4 linked regions of the Macaca mulatta genome follow. The protein of the gene in region 2 purifies or fractionates together with the protein of the main gene of each other region. This does not show direct contact. Links are inferred from orthologs where the notes say so. Each region holds a gene or a part of one and is shown on either strand. Other genes may lie near its edges. The genes, in order: ASF1A, NASP, HAT1 and ASF1B.

Region 1 (4,135 bases), on a different chromosome or scaffold from region 2:
TGTGTTTGCACCACTGCACTCCATCCAGCCTGAGTGCCAGAGCCAGACTGTCTCATTTAAAAAAAAAAAAAAATTCTATAGTTTAAGAACAGAATTTTTAAAAGAACTATAATATAAAAGTATGGAACCTATAAGAAGCCTTTGCTAAGTAAACTCAATTTCCTTAATCCACATAGCCTCTAGGTGGAGTATACAGGCATGGCACCTTTTTGAAAGATTCCTTTGCAGCTTCAGTATGACTCAGCTTAAAATATTTTTTAAAATACTAAATAAATGCTCAGTAATGGTGCCTAGGAAGTGAAATATACCATTGGAAATAAGTATATTTTTGATACCAGTACTGTAAAACCCTGATGTGATTCAGCTGGGTTCTGAATGGATCCCAGTTAAAAATGGAACCTGTTTTGGCTTTATGAATGGCTGGTTTCATCTATGCAATGTAAAAGCCCTGTAACGACATCCTGAGTCATCTATCTTCTTTGTTCAGAGCTGACTCCTAAAATGGAAGGCATCACTTGAGAAATACCTGTAATTTGAAGAACTTCTGGTGGTATACTTGAAAAACACTGTGGTGTAAGTTGGAATGGACCGATCAATGGTTTTTCTTTTGTCTATTTTTATATGCAGTTGGCAATAAAAAAAAAAAAAAATTACTGACTGTTGGGTGTGAAAAATGGGCCTGGTAGCTGCAATGCTTATATTAATAGTAGTATCATACAGATGACTTCAGAGTAATAAGAAAAATACCCCTAAGTGTTATCAATGGCCTATTTGAAATTATTTTAATAAATGAATCATCTTTCAAAATTTGCCCTATATATGTATGTGCATTTATACTCTATATAGGTTTACCAAAAAAAAAAAAAAAAAAAAAAAAAACCCCACAGAGGGGCACATGTTAAAGTAGTAATTGTGATTACCTAAAGGAGATAGGGGAAGGCATTGAGTACAGAGAACTGTTAACTTTATATATGCCTGTACAACTTTCTAAAAGTTTATTACAATGATATATATTGTTTTATAATTAAAATTAACCTTACATATGATACATACATTTTAGAGATTAAAAACTAGTTTTTAAAATGAAAAGTTTTACATGCCACGATTAGCCAAATCATCTTCAGAGCATTTTAAAAATACACTTCTAGTTCAAAGAAGTATGCCCCTCATCGATGAAGTTAAACTATTTCCCCTTCAAAACTGGCAAATGAAGTACTGAATTACTTTAGTAAAATATAATTAAAGCAAAGATAATTGTTGTTTTAGCTTTCTAAATATTTATTACTAAACATATTAAGAATACGTATTTTTAAGACCTTAAAATATATGTAGAAAAAATACCAGGAATTCTTGGACTGACATGAGTTGTTTACCTTAATTTCCTAGCCTACGTTTGTGTTTTATGTTTAGGGTGTGTTCTGCATCTGGATGTGGAGTTATTTTACATTTCAACACGCTCTTGAAGAAAGTCTTCTTTCAGACTATTTAGAAGGCAGAGATTAAGTCCTGGAAATTATTTAAGTATCTTATTTCTGCTCTTAGGTTAAATGTAACTTCCTAGCTCAGCTCTCTCTCTCTTCCTGAGATTAGCTTTTCGTCATTAGGGGAAAGGAGTCCACGTTGGTTGGGGAGCCTGCGCGCCAGCATCCCGGCGCATCCCGGGCACCGGCCGAAGAGGACCGGCCGAACAGGACCCGCGGCCCCCGGGGAGTGCCGGCGCCCAGCCCGCGGCGCGGAGGGGCCGAGCCTGCGCCCGCCTCCCCCGCTGGTTGGTCGAGGAAGCCAGAAATCAGCGCGAGGACAGCCTCGCTCTCCTCCCCGAAGCGGCCAGGCATGGCCAGCCCGGAGAGTGCGGCGACTCCACCGTGAGCTCTCGAGAGTTACTGCCTCCCTTTCGCCGGGGGCAGGCGGGCGAAGGGGCAAGAAGAGGCGCCGTGCGCCGGGGTCGCTGGCCCAATTCTCGACTGGGGTAAGATGGCTCCGCTCCGAACTCGCCGGCGCGACCACACGCACAGCCTCTCCCTTCCCAGCCTCCGTGCCCGGGCCCGGAGGGTCGCGGAAGCTGTTGGCGGCGCTAAGCCAGCCCGGCGCGACCCCAGGAGGCGCCGCGGGCGCGAGTGCGGGTCTCCGAGCTGCCCGCCCGCAGACAAAGCTGACAACATGGCTTCCTCCGCTCAAACAAGTTCCTCGCAAGTTGAGCCCGGCAGGCGCCTGGGCTGCGGCGGAAAGCCGCGCGCGCCTCGGCGGCCGTCGACCATCAACTTGAAGTTTCCCTCCGCAGAGCAGCCCGCGGCCGCCAGGCGCCGAACACAGCCGCCCAGCGCGAGGCCGGGCCCGGGAAACTTTCAACGTCTGCAGCCCGCAACTGACAGCCCGGGCGCACGGGCGCCGCACTCACCTTCAGACAGGTCCTCGATGCACTCGAAGGTGATCTCGAACTGGAACGGGTTGTAGAAAGGAGAAGGGTTATCCAGCACCACTACATTGTTCACCTGAACCTTTGCCATATTTTGAAAAAAACACAAACAATGGGAACTGGGGCTGGTTGCGGCACAATAAAGTCCAGCGCGCGGCCGCTCGGGAGAGCGCAGACCCCCGCCCCAGCGCCGGCCCGACGTTGTGCAGCGGCGACTTGAGAAACTTTTTTTTTCCTCTTTTTATTTACACGGGAGCACTCCACAGTGTTTTGCAGCTTTCCTATTTCACTAAACTACAGCCCATTCTGCTCTGATAAGTAGCAGCGTTGCCCTCGATTGGCTGCACCCGAGCTCTGACCCTCCTCCTCCAGCGAGGGCCTCGGCAGCCAGCAAGATGGGCTCCCGCTCCCGGAATGGACTCGGAAACTTTAACTGCGGCTCCACCTGCTGGTGTGGATTAGGACAAAGGCGGAGAACAAAGTGAGTGGAATAAGGGCTGGGAGGCCCGCGCGGAGGCCGCCGGCGGCGGCGCGGAGAGGGGCGGCGGGGGCGTGGCCGCGGCGGGGAGGCGTGGCCGCGGCGGGAGGGCGCGATTCGGCCGACGCCCGCCCCTCCGGTTGGCTTCGTGTGGGTGTTTTGGCGTTTTTTGTTTTTTTGTGGTTTTTTGTGTTTTTTTTTTTTTTTTTAATTTTTTAACGCTCTTTTTACATCATTGCAACAGCTTTGCCGGCCTTGCTGAATTTAGCAGATGAGAATCGGTGTTTACACTGGGTTAGGTTCAGCTTTCTGTGTATCGGGTAGTAGTTGGAGTAGAGAAAAAGATTGCCTGCAGGGGAAATAAATTGCATGTTATAGACCGATGTCAGCTCGAAAGGAGCAAAGCCATTTTGGAAATCTAGCTCTTGGCCAGTATCTACGTTTAGGCACGACAGCGCCGTTAAGCAACACAAAATGAAGGGCGAGGAATGATTTTCCACACACTGTGCTTGGAAAATTTAAATAGGTAACCTTTGGGCTTACACCTGGGCGTCTTCTTCGGAGTCCAGATCTGGAAAGTCCTAGAATAAGAAAAAAATCACAAGAGGTGTGATCAGTTATACCCTAGGTTACTGCCATTGGGAGAGCATAGCAGGAACATAAAAGGAGAAAATGGAAGTGTCAGGAGACCAACAGGGCAACACACATAATAGAGATGGGGAAAAGAACACGAAGACATAGCAAGACATTTGATCTTCAAAAAAATTTCTGACCTAAACCATTAGTAAAGCAAATTCTGAGGAGCCCTTGCTTGCCTGTAACCAGTTGAGATCTGAACTGAGGAAATGTTGATTCGTTTATGCTGTTTGACTACCATTGCGGGGAAAGAGAAAGCTTTAACACATTTGTGAGCCTAAACCGTTTCTATTACTAGTAAGTGGTATAAAGATTTGTTTTTATTACCTGCTATCCATAAACCGTCACTTTTTTCCTTAAATGTTGTGAATGAAACCACCAAACTTGGCCAAATTCAGAGAGAAAATTAATTCTGAAGTATCTGCTCTGGAAGAGTTTTCTCTTAGGATAGTGCCCAGAATGTTGATTTGTCATTCTTTGGGCATTGTTCATACTTAAGTAGGTGGCTTTTGATGAAACGTTTTCATCTGATGGTCTTTTGAAAGTTAATGTGAGACAGCTAATGTCAGCCCCTCCTACATTTAGGAAGACCAGTTAGAGTGGGG
Region 2 (3,563 bases):
AGTAATTAAGATACTTTGTTTCAAATTAGAGGTTGTCTTCTAGCGTTCTGGTATGAGTAGGAAGAGATACCAGATAGGAATAGAAGATAACAATATCAATTTAATTTTTCCTACACATTGGGAAGATGAAGTATTTACTTTTCTGTCAATTATCCTAAATATGTAAATCTACTTCAGCTTTTCTGTGTATTCTGCTAGAGGATGGGCGGAGTTAATAAAACCACCCATCTGGTCTAACTTTGGGGAACTAAGCCCAGACCCACTTGGAAATTTGGATATGAAAAGATAATGGTGGGCCGGGCGCGGTGGCTCAAGCCTGTAATCCCAGCACTTTGGGAGGCCGAGACGGGCGGATCATGAGGTCAGGAGATCGAGACCATCCTAGCTAACATGGTGAAACCCCGTCTCTACTAAGAAATACAAAAAAAAAAAACTAGCCGGGCGAGGTGGCGGGTGCCTGTAGTCCCAGCTACTCGGGAGGCTGAGGCAGGAGAATGGCATAAACCCGGGAGGCAGAGCTTGCAGTGAGCTGAGATCCGGCCACTGCACTCCAGCCTGGGCTACAGAGCGAGACTCTGTCTCAAAAAAAAAAAAAAAAGAAAGGAAAAAGAAAAAGAAAAAAAAGAAAAGATAATGGTGTATGGTGGGCCAGGTGCTATGGTTTACACCTGTAATCCCAGCGCTCTGGGAGGCTGAGGCTAGTGGATCACCTGAGGTCAGGAGTTCGAGACCAACCTGGTCAACACGGTGAAATTCCATCTCTACTAAAAATACAAAAAAATTAGTCAGGCCTGGGGACATGTGTCTGTGGTCCCAGCTACTCGGGAGGCTGAGGTAGGAGAAATGCTTGAACCTGGGGGGTGGAGGTTGCAGTTAGCTGAGATTGCACCATTGCACCCCAGCTGGGCGTGGTGGTGCACACCTGCAGTCTCAGCTGCCTGAGAGGCTGAGGCAGGAGGATGGCTTCGGCATAGGAGTTTGAGGCTATAGTGAGCCATGACTGTCATGCCACTGCACTCCAGCCTGGCAAAAGAGCAAGACCCGATTCAAAAAGAAAAGGAACAGGCCAATTATCTTTATTAGAAGGAAATGTACAGTCCAACACATGGCAAAGAGTCAAGAGGTGGCAGTAAATAGGGTTTTAATTTTTAAGTGAAAAAACTGCTTGGAAGATTTCTGCAGAATGGTGCTGCCACATAAAGGAAAATAAAACACAGAAAGTGGTTGAGTACTCGAGCCAGAAGTTTGGGTACCCAGCCTTCTCCTTACTGTGTGACTAGGGTAAATTACTTAAACCTCTTTCTCCCATTTCTTCTTTTGTAAAGTACGGAAAACTGTATTGTCTTTACAAGCAGAACAATACTTGATATACAACACCAAAAGATGCAGCATATGAAAAGCCTGGGGCTTTTCAAATATAGTTAATTTTTAAAATAAGTGACAAAATTTCTTTTTGGTGTTTTTTTTTTGTTTTTTTTTTTTTTTTGAGACAGAGACTTGCTGTGTTGCCCAGGCTGGAGTGCAGTGGCATGATCTCGGCTCACTGCAACCTCTGCCTCCCGGGTTCAAGCCATTCTTCTCGTTCAGCCTCCTGAGTAGCTGGGACCACAGGCACATGCCACCATGTCCGGCTAACTTTTGTATTTTTAATAGAGTCGGAGTTTCACCATACTGGCCAGGCTGGTCTCAAACTCCTGACCAGGTGATCCGCCCACCTCAGTCTCCCAAAGTGCTGGGATTACAGGCGTGAGCCACTGCACCCAGCCCACAACAAAATTTCTAACTGAGTGTAGGAAAGGGATGAACACTGTCTTCTTTGATGTGTGGTAACTTGGGAAGAATAATATATTCAAGGCAGATCTTGGTTTGGATTCAGTACTATGACCCCTAAACAAGTCATGTAACCTTTAAACTTCAACCTCATCACTATAACTTGGGCACTACTACCTACCACATAGTATTGTTTTAGGATCAGATGTAATATATGTGAGAGAGCTCTAACAATGTTAATTATGATCCTACTATGACATATCTATCGTAGCTTACCATTCAAGGTCTTAGGAGCCAGTCAGCAGAGCTTGCTCACAATCATTAAGATCAAGACATGGGAGTTTTGTTTTGGGTTTTGGTGTTTTTTTTGTTTGTTTGTTTGTTTTTTTTAGGAATTTAGTTCTGTGCTTTTTTCCATAAAGAAAAGAAACCCAATGGTGCTACCATTTTAGCCAATTCATTTCCAGTTACTGAGCCTGTGCTGGCTGGAGTACAGGGACCTGCACATAGTGGAAGGAAGTTTACAAGAATGAGCTCAAAGTATTGAAGATGGGTCTCTGAAAATCTAAAACTGAAGAGAACTCGAAGTAGTCTGGCAATTACAAGAAGTAACCATTAGTTGGAATATACCTGTGGTTATTAATGCCAATGTTAGATGAACCTTATATACAGTAGAATCCTCAAATGATAGCAAAAGTCAGACTTGCCAGTTATGTAGTAATTAGAGGCTTATACATCTTAATGAAATTTAATCACAATTAGACCAATAGCATTATAGAAAGCATCCACGCTTTATAATATTCTAAGTAACAAAAAGTTCAGTTTAGCAGCCGAAGCAAGCATGAAATGAGGAAGGAAAGCAGCAAGAGAGCTAATGCGTTCTGTTTTTTGTTGCCTTGGGGAAGGTGGTGGGGGGCCTGTTTTAACTAATGTGAATAAGCCTCTAAACACTTCCTGAAGACTTAAAGGTAGAGAGGAGCACCAGAGTTCTTTAACTCTGGTGATACAACAGTCAAGGTTAACTATCTTCATTTAAATGGCATGCCTGCTTCAGTGTACCAATTCAGTGGATTCTACTGCTCTGTTCCTGCTTCCTAACACACAGAAAAGGAGTCATGTGAACAATAAATTTTAAAATCCAGAGGCATGCAAGTGAACATCCATTCAGCATTCTCTGCCAGCCTACTAGCCCACTATTTCCCTACCTACCCCACCCCTCATCTACCTTTTCCATCCCACTTTATTGGCTAGTATGATGCAACAAGTTACTGATAGCTAGCCAAGTCTCAGAAATCACAAAGAAGGCCTATTTTGCAGTTAGTAAAAATGTTAGTTTATAAGCCAACTAAAGAACACTTGCTGCTTTTGATTTAACTTACTTGACTAGCACAACCTTGTTAAACTACCCCCCTTTGCATTTAGCCCTTTCCTAATCCAAAGGCAGACGGAAAATCCTGAATGGAAGGCTGACTTTTACCCATAATTAGTGAGTCAAATCCAGAATGTACTCCACCCACTGCAGCTCTTGCATATCCCGGTTACCTTCACCCTCTTTCATCTGTTCTTCTCTCTCTTGTGTCTCTTCATTAGCAGCTATCTGAACTTTGTCTTCAGTTGATTTCTCAGTAGCTCCCTGGGCTACCTTGGTATCAACCCCATCTCCAGCTGCCTCAGACTCTTCTACAGACAGCTTAGTCTCCTCCTGACTAGGAACCAGCTTTGCCCTGACCTTCTCCTCTAGTCCTGAGCCATCTTTTGTTTCTGTCAGTCTTTCTATAGAAGTCTGTGGTTCA
Region 3 (3,563 bases), on a different chromosome or scaffold from region 2:
ATACAATCAATCAGTAAGGAGACATTTTTTAGAAAGGCTCTTTCAGTAACAAATCAAATTTTACATACCTGTAATATCAAGAACTGTAGGAAATTCAGTGTAGTATCTATGAACTGTTTCAAGAAGCTGAGCACCATGGCCTTGACCTTGAAATGGAGTCAAAATCAGCATCTGACTACAGTAAAGAAATTATTTTAAAATTAAAATATCATAACATGACCAGTTTAAAACTTGCAAATCACTATAGTATTACAAACACTTTAAAGTTTGTGTGATCTTTTTTCAATCCACCTTTGAGATACCCAAAAATTATCAGGATACTCAAAATTAGTTTAATCTTCTACACTGTTTCAAAGGGAACAATGAAATAAATCAGTACATAGTCCATGAATAATAGTGATTTTTTTTTTAAACAAATCAACACTATTATAACAAGTATTGGAAACTTCAGCAGTTCCTTCTGCTGAAATAAAAGACAAGGCACGTGTTATACTGCCAATTACCTTACACGTGGCCGGGTTTTGTCTGGGTACACATAGTAATTATAGACTGTCATGTAGCCTACGGTCGCAAAAAGCGTAGCTCCATCCTTATTATACTTCTCAAATCTGCAGATAAAACAGAAAGCCAAGCAGGTCAATTACAGTCGCGCTCCCATGCAGTGTCCATTTTCTTTTCCATTCTCTGACTGAATTTTCAGTGTCAGCAAGCTACTCTGTGAGGGCCCAATGGGTACACCTGCTATGTTCTGAATGTACAATTCACTTAATTGGTGTGCAGCAACTTGGATAAATCAGACCTCTTTACATCACTTCAGTGCACTTGCCTATTATAAAGATGAATAGGTGGCAAGTAAAAGAAAACACAGGCAAAGCTCATTTTACTGTTTAAGCCTACATTCAGGGCCCTAACGGACAACAGCATTTAATTCAGCTCTATTCTCAAGGTCTCCCAAAGCATAATGAAGGAAAACTCAAGCCTCATAAACAATAGTTTTTCTTTCCTGGGAAAAATATCATTATACTGTCCCAATAATTGGGCTGCCACAATTAAAATGCTGGCTTTGTGGAGGTAATAAGGTCTACTGTTGCTTTAGAACTGTACTTACACTAGAAAGTAGTGCCATCTTTCATCATCCACGTCAATAAAGCTAGCAGTTTCAATAAACCACATCAAAAAGGTCTGAAGCCTTTCATGATACTCTCGAAAGCCTCTACATGTCATGTCGGCCTAGGGAAAAAGCCAGGAAAAGTCAGGTGAAACTCATCACAAAGGTAAGTGAAAGTCTGCAGAACACAAAATTATCCTGTGGGAAAATGTTTAGAAGTCTCAGATTAAGATGTGGACACAGACACAGACATACACACAAAATAGATCTTTGTTTATAATGCTGATTAAAACTTGTTTACTGCAGTTAGAATAAATCACTGACAACAAAACTACATACAGGTTTCAGGCAAAAAGAACTTTACTCAATAAATATTTAGATTTATCTTTACCTTATATATCTGAAAGGTAAAGTTTTCTCCTCCTGTTGGACTGAGAACTGAGTAGGTATGAAGTAAGGTTCCGAATGGCTTGAAATCAACTTCTTTTTCCAGTAAAGAAAGGAAATCATTTGTGTTTGTGCAAAATCCAGGTGGAATGATTTGTCTAATTTTGCCCTCAACATCATCTGCCTAAAAAATAAAGGATATAAAAAATCAATAACAAATTCAACTTTAAGTTGAATATGGTTACTTTCTTTAAAACTGACAAAACCAACACAAATTATAAAATTTTGGTTGAAAACTAAAGAAGTAAACACACAGTGAACTGGAAAAGGATGAGCTTCCTGTGCACAAACTACATCACACAAAACTGAGATAAGCATAACATAAAAGTAAATAAGAGAAGGCAGGTAATCTGATACCAAGTACAATAATAAGGGCAATGCTATGGACGTTTCTGTTATGTAGAAAATGCTGACTATACCCCTTCATGACAGTCTGAACTGGCCAAGGCAAAAGGCTGCTTATTATTTTATATGTGTCAAAGAAATCATATTATCCAAGACATGAAAAGATCACCAGAGGTAGTGAGATGAGGCTAGAGTCAGACCAAATGAATAGCAATCTCACAACTAGATGGGTCACAATTCCCTCATATGCCAAACTCAAACTAAGATGATAATTTTAAAATATACCTATTTAGGAAATAACATAAATTATATGAATGCATATATCATTCTTTCATCCTTAGAATGTGACACAATTCTTAGAGACCTGGATTTGTGACAGTAAAAAAGAGACAAGACTGGACAACAAAACTAAACTTGGAGATTAAAATTACCCTTAACAACCTCTATCAATGTTATCAGCTGAGCAGACTTCATAATCCTTTTCAAAATCCCAAAAGACCACTTGATTGAATACATTTACTACTTCTCTTTAACCATGAATATTTGATGAAGTCTTACAATAAAGTATTGCTGCTTCTCACCAGGCAATAAAACTTAATGAATTGGTCTCAACTTAACAAAACCTTATCCCTCAATACAGTCCCTAAAAGCCTGACATTACATTCAACAAAATGAGCTTGTATTCTATTCAAACTTTTTCCTGAACAATGAGGCCAGGTTTTTACTTAATGGAGTTTGCCGTGAGTTCAGCTGTAATGTTTGTATTGTATCTATTTCCACAAGGACTGACACAAGAACACTTTGTGTTAACTTACTAAGCAGCTCTTTCATACCGTTTACATGCATGATGGGTATTAGTTCTAAACCAAGACCCTTGCTACTTAGCATTCAAAACAGGGAAATTAAGATGCTTAGGACAAAATACACTACAAAAGGCTAATACAACATGCTACTAATTCCTGTCCTTTCAACCATCTTTTAACTAAGTAGAGGCAATGCACCTGCAGATGAATAGCACTTTATTATGATTCAGTTACATTTTAGGATAGAGAACCAGGGATGACGTTTATCACAAACAAGTTTTATTTTCAATGCTCTGGTACCACCAACATGTATATATAATTTGTTTATAGCTATAAAAAAAGACCTATTATTGAAAATATAGCTCTTCAGCATTTTGCCCAACAGTTTATTTCTAATATGTACATCAGTCCTTACAACTCATTCACACTCGAGATCAAATAAACTGCATTTCATAGGACCGTTTTTGTTTATTTTTAAAGTACTATTTGATAAATATTTTTCCTTGCAATTGCTAACGTGAAGAGGCCATCTTAAGCATATTTTATAGAATCAGTACAATTTCAACCACTATCAAGGAAACTGTCATAATGAGGGATAGCTGTAATAGGTATGCTGTGTAGCAATTAAAATCCAAAGTAGTGATGAGTAAAACAGTATAGCATAATGTTAGTTAAGGTTTTTAAAAAGTCAAGGAAAACTACTTTTAAAAAGAGATTTATAATCTATCAGTTTAAAAATCACTTTAAGACTTTCATAGCATGTATAATTTTAACTTTTAAAAACTTTCCTTATGTCCTGTCTTCTCAAGAAGGCATTACAAATCATTTTACATATCTTGCATCAAATCTACTTCAAAGAT
Region 4 (4,349 bases), on a different chromosome or scaffold from region 2:
AAATCTTGGCCGGGCGCGGTGGCTCAAGCCTGTAATCCCAGCACTTTGGGAGGCTGAGACGGGCGGATCACGAGGTCAGGAGATCGAGACCATCCTGGCTAACACGGTGAAACCCCGTCTCTACTAAAAAATACAAAAAAAAAAAAACTAGGCCGGGCGTGGTGGCTCACGCCTGTAATCCCAGCACTTTGGGAGGCCGAGGTGGGCAGATCACAAGGTCAGGAGATCGAGACCATGGTGAAACCCCGTCTCTACTAAAAATAGAAAAAATTAGCCGGGCGCAGGGGCGGGCGCCTGTAGTCCCAGCTACTCGGGAGGCTGAGGCAGGAGAATGGCGTAAACCCGGGAGGCGGAACTTGCAGTGAGCTGAGATCCGGCCACTGCACTCCAGCCCGGGCGACAGAGCGAGACTCCGTCTCAAAAAAAAAAAAAAAAAAGTAAATCTTAAATTAAAAAAAAAAAGATATGGCTGGGTACAGTGGCTCATGCCTGTAAACCCAGCACTCTGGAAGATCAAGGCGGGCGGATCACTTGAGATCAGGCGTTTGAGACCAGCCTGGCCAACAAGGTGAAACCCGGTCTCTACTAAAAATACAGAAAAAAATTTAGCTGGTTGTGGTGGTGGTCACCTGTAATCCCAGATACTCAGGAGGCTGAGGCAGGAGAATCGCTTGAACCCGGGAGGTGGAGGTTGCAGTGAGCCGAGATCGCGCTATTGCACTCCAGCCTGGGTGACAGAGCGAGATTCCGTCTCAAAGAAAAAAAAAGTGGTTTCCAAAAAATGTAAAATTAGGTGCGCGGCTGGCATTATTTTTCCACTGGGTAGAGCTGATCGCCCGTGGGGGCAGAGACTCTGCGACCTGGAGTCTCCCAGGCCGGGGGCGACGGGATGCGGCGGAGAGAAGTTTCCGGATGTATTGTGCGGTCATGAATCATGTCAGGGAATTGCCACTGCCCCCGTTGAATGGAGAGACGCTGCCTCAGGAGCTGAGTAGCAGAGCCCGGACTCGAACACTGGTCTGCCCCCGAACTGAAACTCCCATTTTCAGTACCGTCTGCTTGAAACCTTCCAAGAGCCCTTGAGGGGGCGAGAGCGGGATCCAAACCCCTCGGGGGCGAGAGCGGGATTCGAACCCCTCGTGGGCGAAAGCGGGATCCGAACCGGGCTGGACTCCCGAGGTCCCAGCGCGCCGCGTGACCGCCACTCCGAACGTTCGCAACGTTCACAACGGACTCCAGGGCCGCTGGACCTCAAGGGTCAGGAGCCACTCAGAAAAGCTCCAGACTACGCTCACCTGTTGACAGACGCTGAGGGCGCAACCCTCCTCCTCTTTTTTCACACTCGCCAGCACCGCGGCGGCGCTCGACTTCCGCTTCTCTCCAGCGAATCCCCAGCTGAGCCTCATTCTGCTCCCGGCACTATTACCAATCCAGCCAATCAACTCTCAGAAAACCCTCTTTATCTCCGCCCCACTCCCTCCTGCCAATCACTGAGGGTGCGAGCACCGCCCTTCCCGCCTTCTTTAGCGAGCGCCGCGCGCCACCGCTCGGCGGTTGGCGGCGCTGCGCGGTGCGGGATGCAGCTCCCGGAAAAGCGAGGCGAGGGGCGGGCTACGCCGGTGCGGGAACCCTCAGGATTGGGCAGAAGGAGTCCGGCGCTCTGACTCCGTCCACTCCCGCCGTTGACATCCGAGTCGGAGACGCTGGGGATTGGTTCCCAGCGGACACGCTAAGAAGCCTGGAGATGGTTTCGCCCTCCTCACACGCCGCGGAGAGGGAGCTCCGCTGATTGGTCCGGGGAGTCTGGGCGCGCGCCGACTGGCGCTCCAGGATTGGCTGAGGGGGTGCGCGCGCCGCCAGGGGAGCGTTGGCGGTGATTGGCCAGAGGGCGGAGGCCGGCTATTTGAAGGCGGTCCGCGGTTTAGGTGCGCACTTCAGTCCGCGGAGGGAAGAGGCGGGAGTGGACTTGGTCTGCCGTACCCCACTGACGCCCCCCCACTCACCGGACCCAGGCGCGGCCTCCGCCACAGCCACAGCCCTGCCCCTGCCCCTGCCCCTGCTGCGGCGCGGCGCGGCGCGGCGAGGCGAGGCGAGGCGAGGCGATGGCCAAGGTGTCGGTGCTGAACGTGGCGGTCCTGGAGAACCCGAGCCCTTTCCACAGCCCCTTCCGGTTCGAGATCAGCTTCGAGTGCAGTGAAGCCCTGGCGGACGGTGAGGCTGGGCCCGTGCGGGGACCCCCACCCCCGGGCCGACCCCGGCCTCCCCTTGGAGAAGCGCTCCCATGGCCAACTTGATCTCCCCCATGAAACCCCTCGTCCCCTTTCCGCCAATCCCGATCTCCGGGTGGAGACTCCCCGCCATCAGCCAACTCGGACCTCCCCGTGACCTCCTCTCCCACTGCCCGCCTTGACCTCCCGGGTGGAGACCCCCAGCTAGCTAACTCGGACCTCCCCGTGACCTCTTCCCCCACTGCCCGCCCCGACCTCCCCATAAAGATTAACCCCAGTCAAGCCCCACTTCCCGCGTGGGAAACCTCATCCATCTTTTTAATCTGGAGGTCTTCCTAGGTACCCGTTTTCATGGAGAGATCTTCTTGGCCTCCATTTCTTAAGCCACGGAGATCTTCAGCCACCGTGATTTCCCTGTGGCAAGACCCGCGCTTTAGCCACCCACCCATTTTTGCCCACTTATTCCCTCTTTAGTGAGATACTCACACCTCCCATTTTCCCTCTGGAGACTCCGAATGTCCAGCCCCTTCCCATTTTCCCCGGGGGAAATCCTAGCCATCTGCTATTTTCCCTATGGAGATCTCTCACGCAAGCTCCTTTCCCTCCTCACCGTGAAGACGCTCCCCACCAGTAACCGTTTTTCGCTGTGAAAACCCCTCAACCCCTTTTCAGGACCGCCCTCGCCCCCATCTTCCCATTTGTCTCCCACCAATCCCCTCCCCAACCTGCCAATATTTCAACAACCCCACCCGCACCAGTTGCTGTTGCTTTTCTGCCATTGCACATACCCTGGAACCTGGTTCCTCCTTCGTTGGGGCCCAACCCCTGCTATGCTTGAGCTCCCCCTGGGAAAGGATGCTACCGTCTTTGAGGGGAACTTGGTCTCCCCAGCTCCCCTTCCCCACCCTCTTCTGTGGACTTGGATAAACACACTGAGATCTGAGGGCTGGCATAGCCAGGCAGGTATTAGCTGCTTCTCCAGGTTTGCCCACCCATTTCCAACTGAGTTACTACAGCAGTTCTTCCCTCGCTTTTTCTTTCTTCTTTTTTTTCTTTTTTCTTTTTTTTTTTTTTTGAGACAGACTCTTGCTCTGTTGCCCAGGCTGAAATGCAGTGGCACGATCTCAGCAATTCTCCTGCCTCAGCCTCCCGAGTAGCTGGGACTACCAGCACCTGTCACCATGCCCGGTTAATTTTAGTATTTTTAGTTGGAGGCAGGGTTTCACCACATTAGCCAGGCTGGTCTCGAAGTCCTGATCTCAAGTGATCCACCCACCTTGGTTTCCCAAAGTGCTGGGATTACAGGCGTGAGCCACCGCGCCCGGTCTTTTTTTTTTTTCTTTTTTTTTTTTAATATAGCTGGATAATCAGTGCCAAGCTTCCATTGCTTTTGATGGTCTGACCTAGTCTGGAGGGTGAGTGGGTTGGGCTGAGCTGTGACAGGCTCCAGCTTCAAACAGTCACCTGGAGCCCGGAGGTCACAGCCTCCTGTACATCTTTTCCAAGGTGCTTCTGCAGATGTACTTGTTAATCTGTGTGACTTAAAGGTGGACATGGCTCTCATCTCACAGATGAGAAGACAGGAGCCACAAAGCGCAAAAGACCTTTCAAGTCAAGGCCTGTACAAATCCAAAATCTAAGGTCACCCAGGGAGCCTTGGCACCACTAAAATGCAAGTCCTGCTTTCAGAAAGAAGTACTCCATTAGGCCATTTTTCTACTTGGTGGTTAAAAGAGAAAAGGCAGTAGCCGAGGAGGTAGCGATCTGGGGGCCTGTGAAGCCAGGATGTGCTAACTAGTGCCTTTCGGGGGCAGGTGGGTGTTTGGCCCTCAAAGCTGGTCACCTGGACTAGCTTGGGGCTGATAGAGTGAGATGTGGATGTGCTTCGGGTAGGCCAGTGGGTCTCTCTCTCCCCGGTCTGTCTTGCTCCTTTTTAAATTAAGCAGTCTACTTGTGGCTAACTATAGAATAAGCCGAGTTAAATCCTTTCTGGAACAGGGCAGCGTGTAAATAAATAAATAAAGTGTAGAATGACACTGTGGAATAAGATTTAATTTAAAAGCCAGGAGGAAATGGAAGGAAGTAATAGGTTGAGGGATTCCCAGCTCCCAGGCGGCAGGA

Evidence for each region.
Region 1: the proteins of NASP (region 2) and ASF1A purify together in Homo sapiens (affinity purification with mass spectrometry; 6 studies listed by BioGRID and IntAct, counting the BioPlex papers as one, with this or other methods). This does not show direct contact. The link is inferred for Macaca mulatta from reciprocal best matches to the Homo sapiens genes NASP and ASF1A.
Region 3: the proteins of NASP (region 2) and HAT1 purify together in Homo sapiens (affinity purification with mass spectrometry; 3 studies listed by BioGRID and IntAct, with this or other methods). This does not show direct contact. The link is inferred for Macaca mulatta from reciprocal best matches to the Homo sapiens genes NASP and HAT1.
Region 4: the proteins of NASP (region 2) and ASF1B purify together in Homo sapiens (affinity purification with mass spectrometry; 5 studies listed by BioGRID and IntAct, counting the BioPlex papers as one, with this or other methods). This does not show direct contact. The link is inferred for Macaca mulatta from reciprocal best matches to the Homo sapiens genes NASP and ASF1B.

Annotation. Positions count from the first base shown.
Region 1 is NC_133409.1:23,859,230-23,863,364, reverse strand, and holds the start of ASF1A (histone chaperone ASF1A), read right to left. Parts: upstream 2,848-4,135; 5' UTR 2,508-2,847; coding exon 2,399-2,507; intron 1-2,398. UniProt on the Homo sapiens protein: Histone chaperone that facilitates histone deposition and histone exchange and removal during nucleosome assembly and disassembly.
Region 2 is NC_133406.1:194,999,387-195,002,949, forward strand, and holds part of NASP (nuclear autoantigenic sperm protein), read right to left. Parts: coding exon 3,313-3,563; exon of another isoform or gene 3,187-3,312; intron 1-3,186. UniProt on the Homo sapiens protein: Component of the histone chaperone network. Binds and stabilizes histone H3-H4 not bound to chromatin to maintain a soluble reservoir and modulate degradation by chaperone-mediated autophagy.
Region 3 is NC_133417.1:76,881,730-76,885,292, reverse strand, and holds part of HAT1 (histone acetyltransferase type B catalytic subunit), read right to left. Parts: intron 1,680-3,563; coding exon 1,500-1,679; intron 1,231-1,499; coding exon 1,109-1,230; intron 609-1,108; coding exon 504-608; intron 176-503; coding exon 69-175; intron 1-68. UniProt on the Homo sapiens protein: Histone acetyltransferase that plays a role in different biological processes including cell cycle progression, glucose metabolism, histone production or DNA damage repair. Coordinates histone production and acetylation via H4 promoter binding.
Region 4 is NC_133424.1:14,721,820-14,726,168, reverse strand, and holds the start of ASF1B (histone chaperone ASF1B), read left to right. Parts: upstream 1-1,489; 5' UTR 1,490-2,102; coding exon 2,103-2,211; exon of another isoform or gene 2,212-2,311; intron 2,312-3,554; exon of another isoform or gene 3,555-4,349. UniProt on the Homo sapiens protein: Histone chaperone that facilitates histone deposition and histone exchange and removal during nucleosome assembly and disassembly. Cooperates with chromatin assembly factor 1 (CAF-1) to promote replication-dependent chromatin assembly.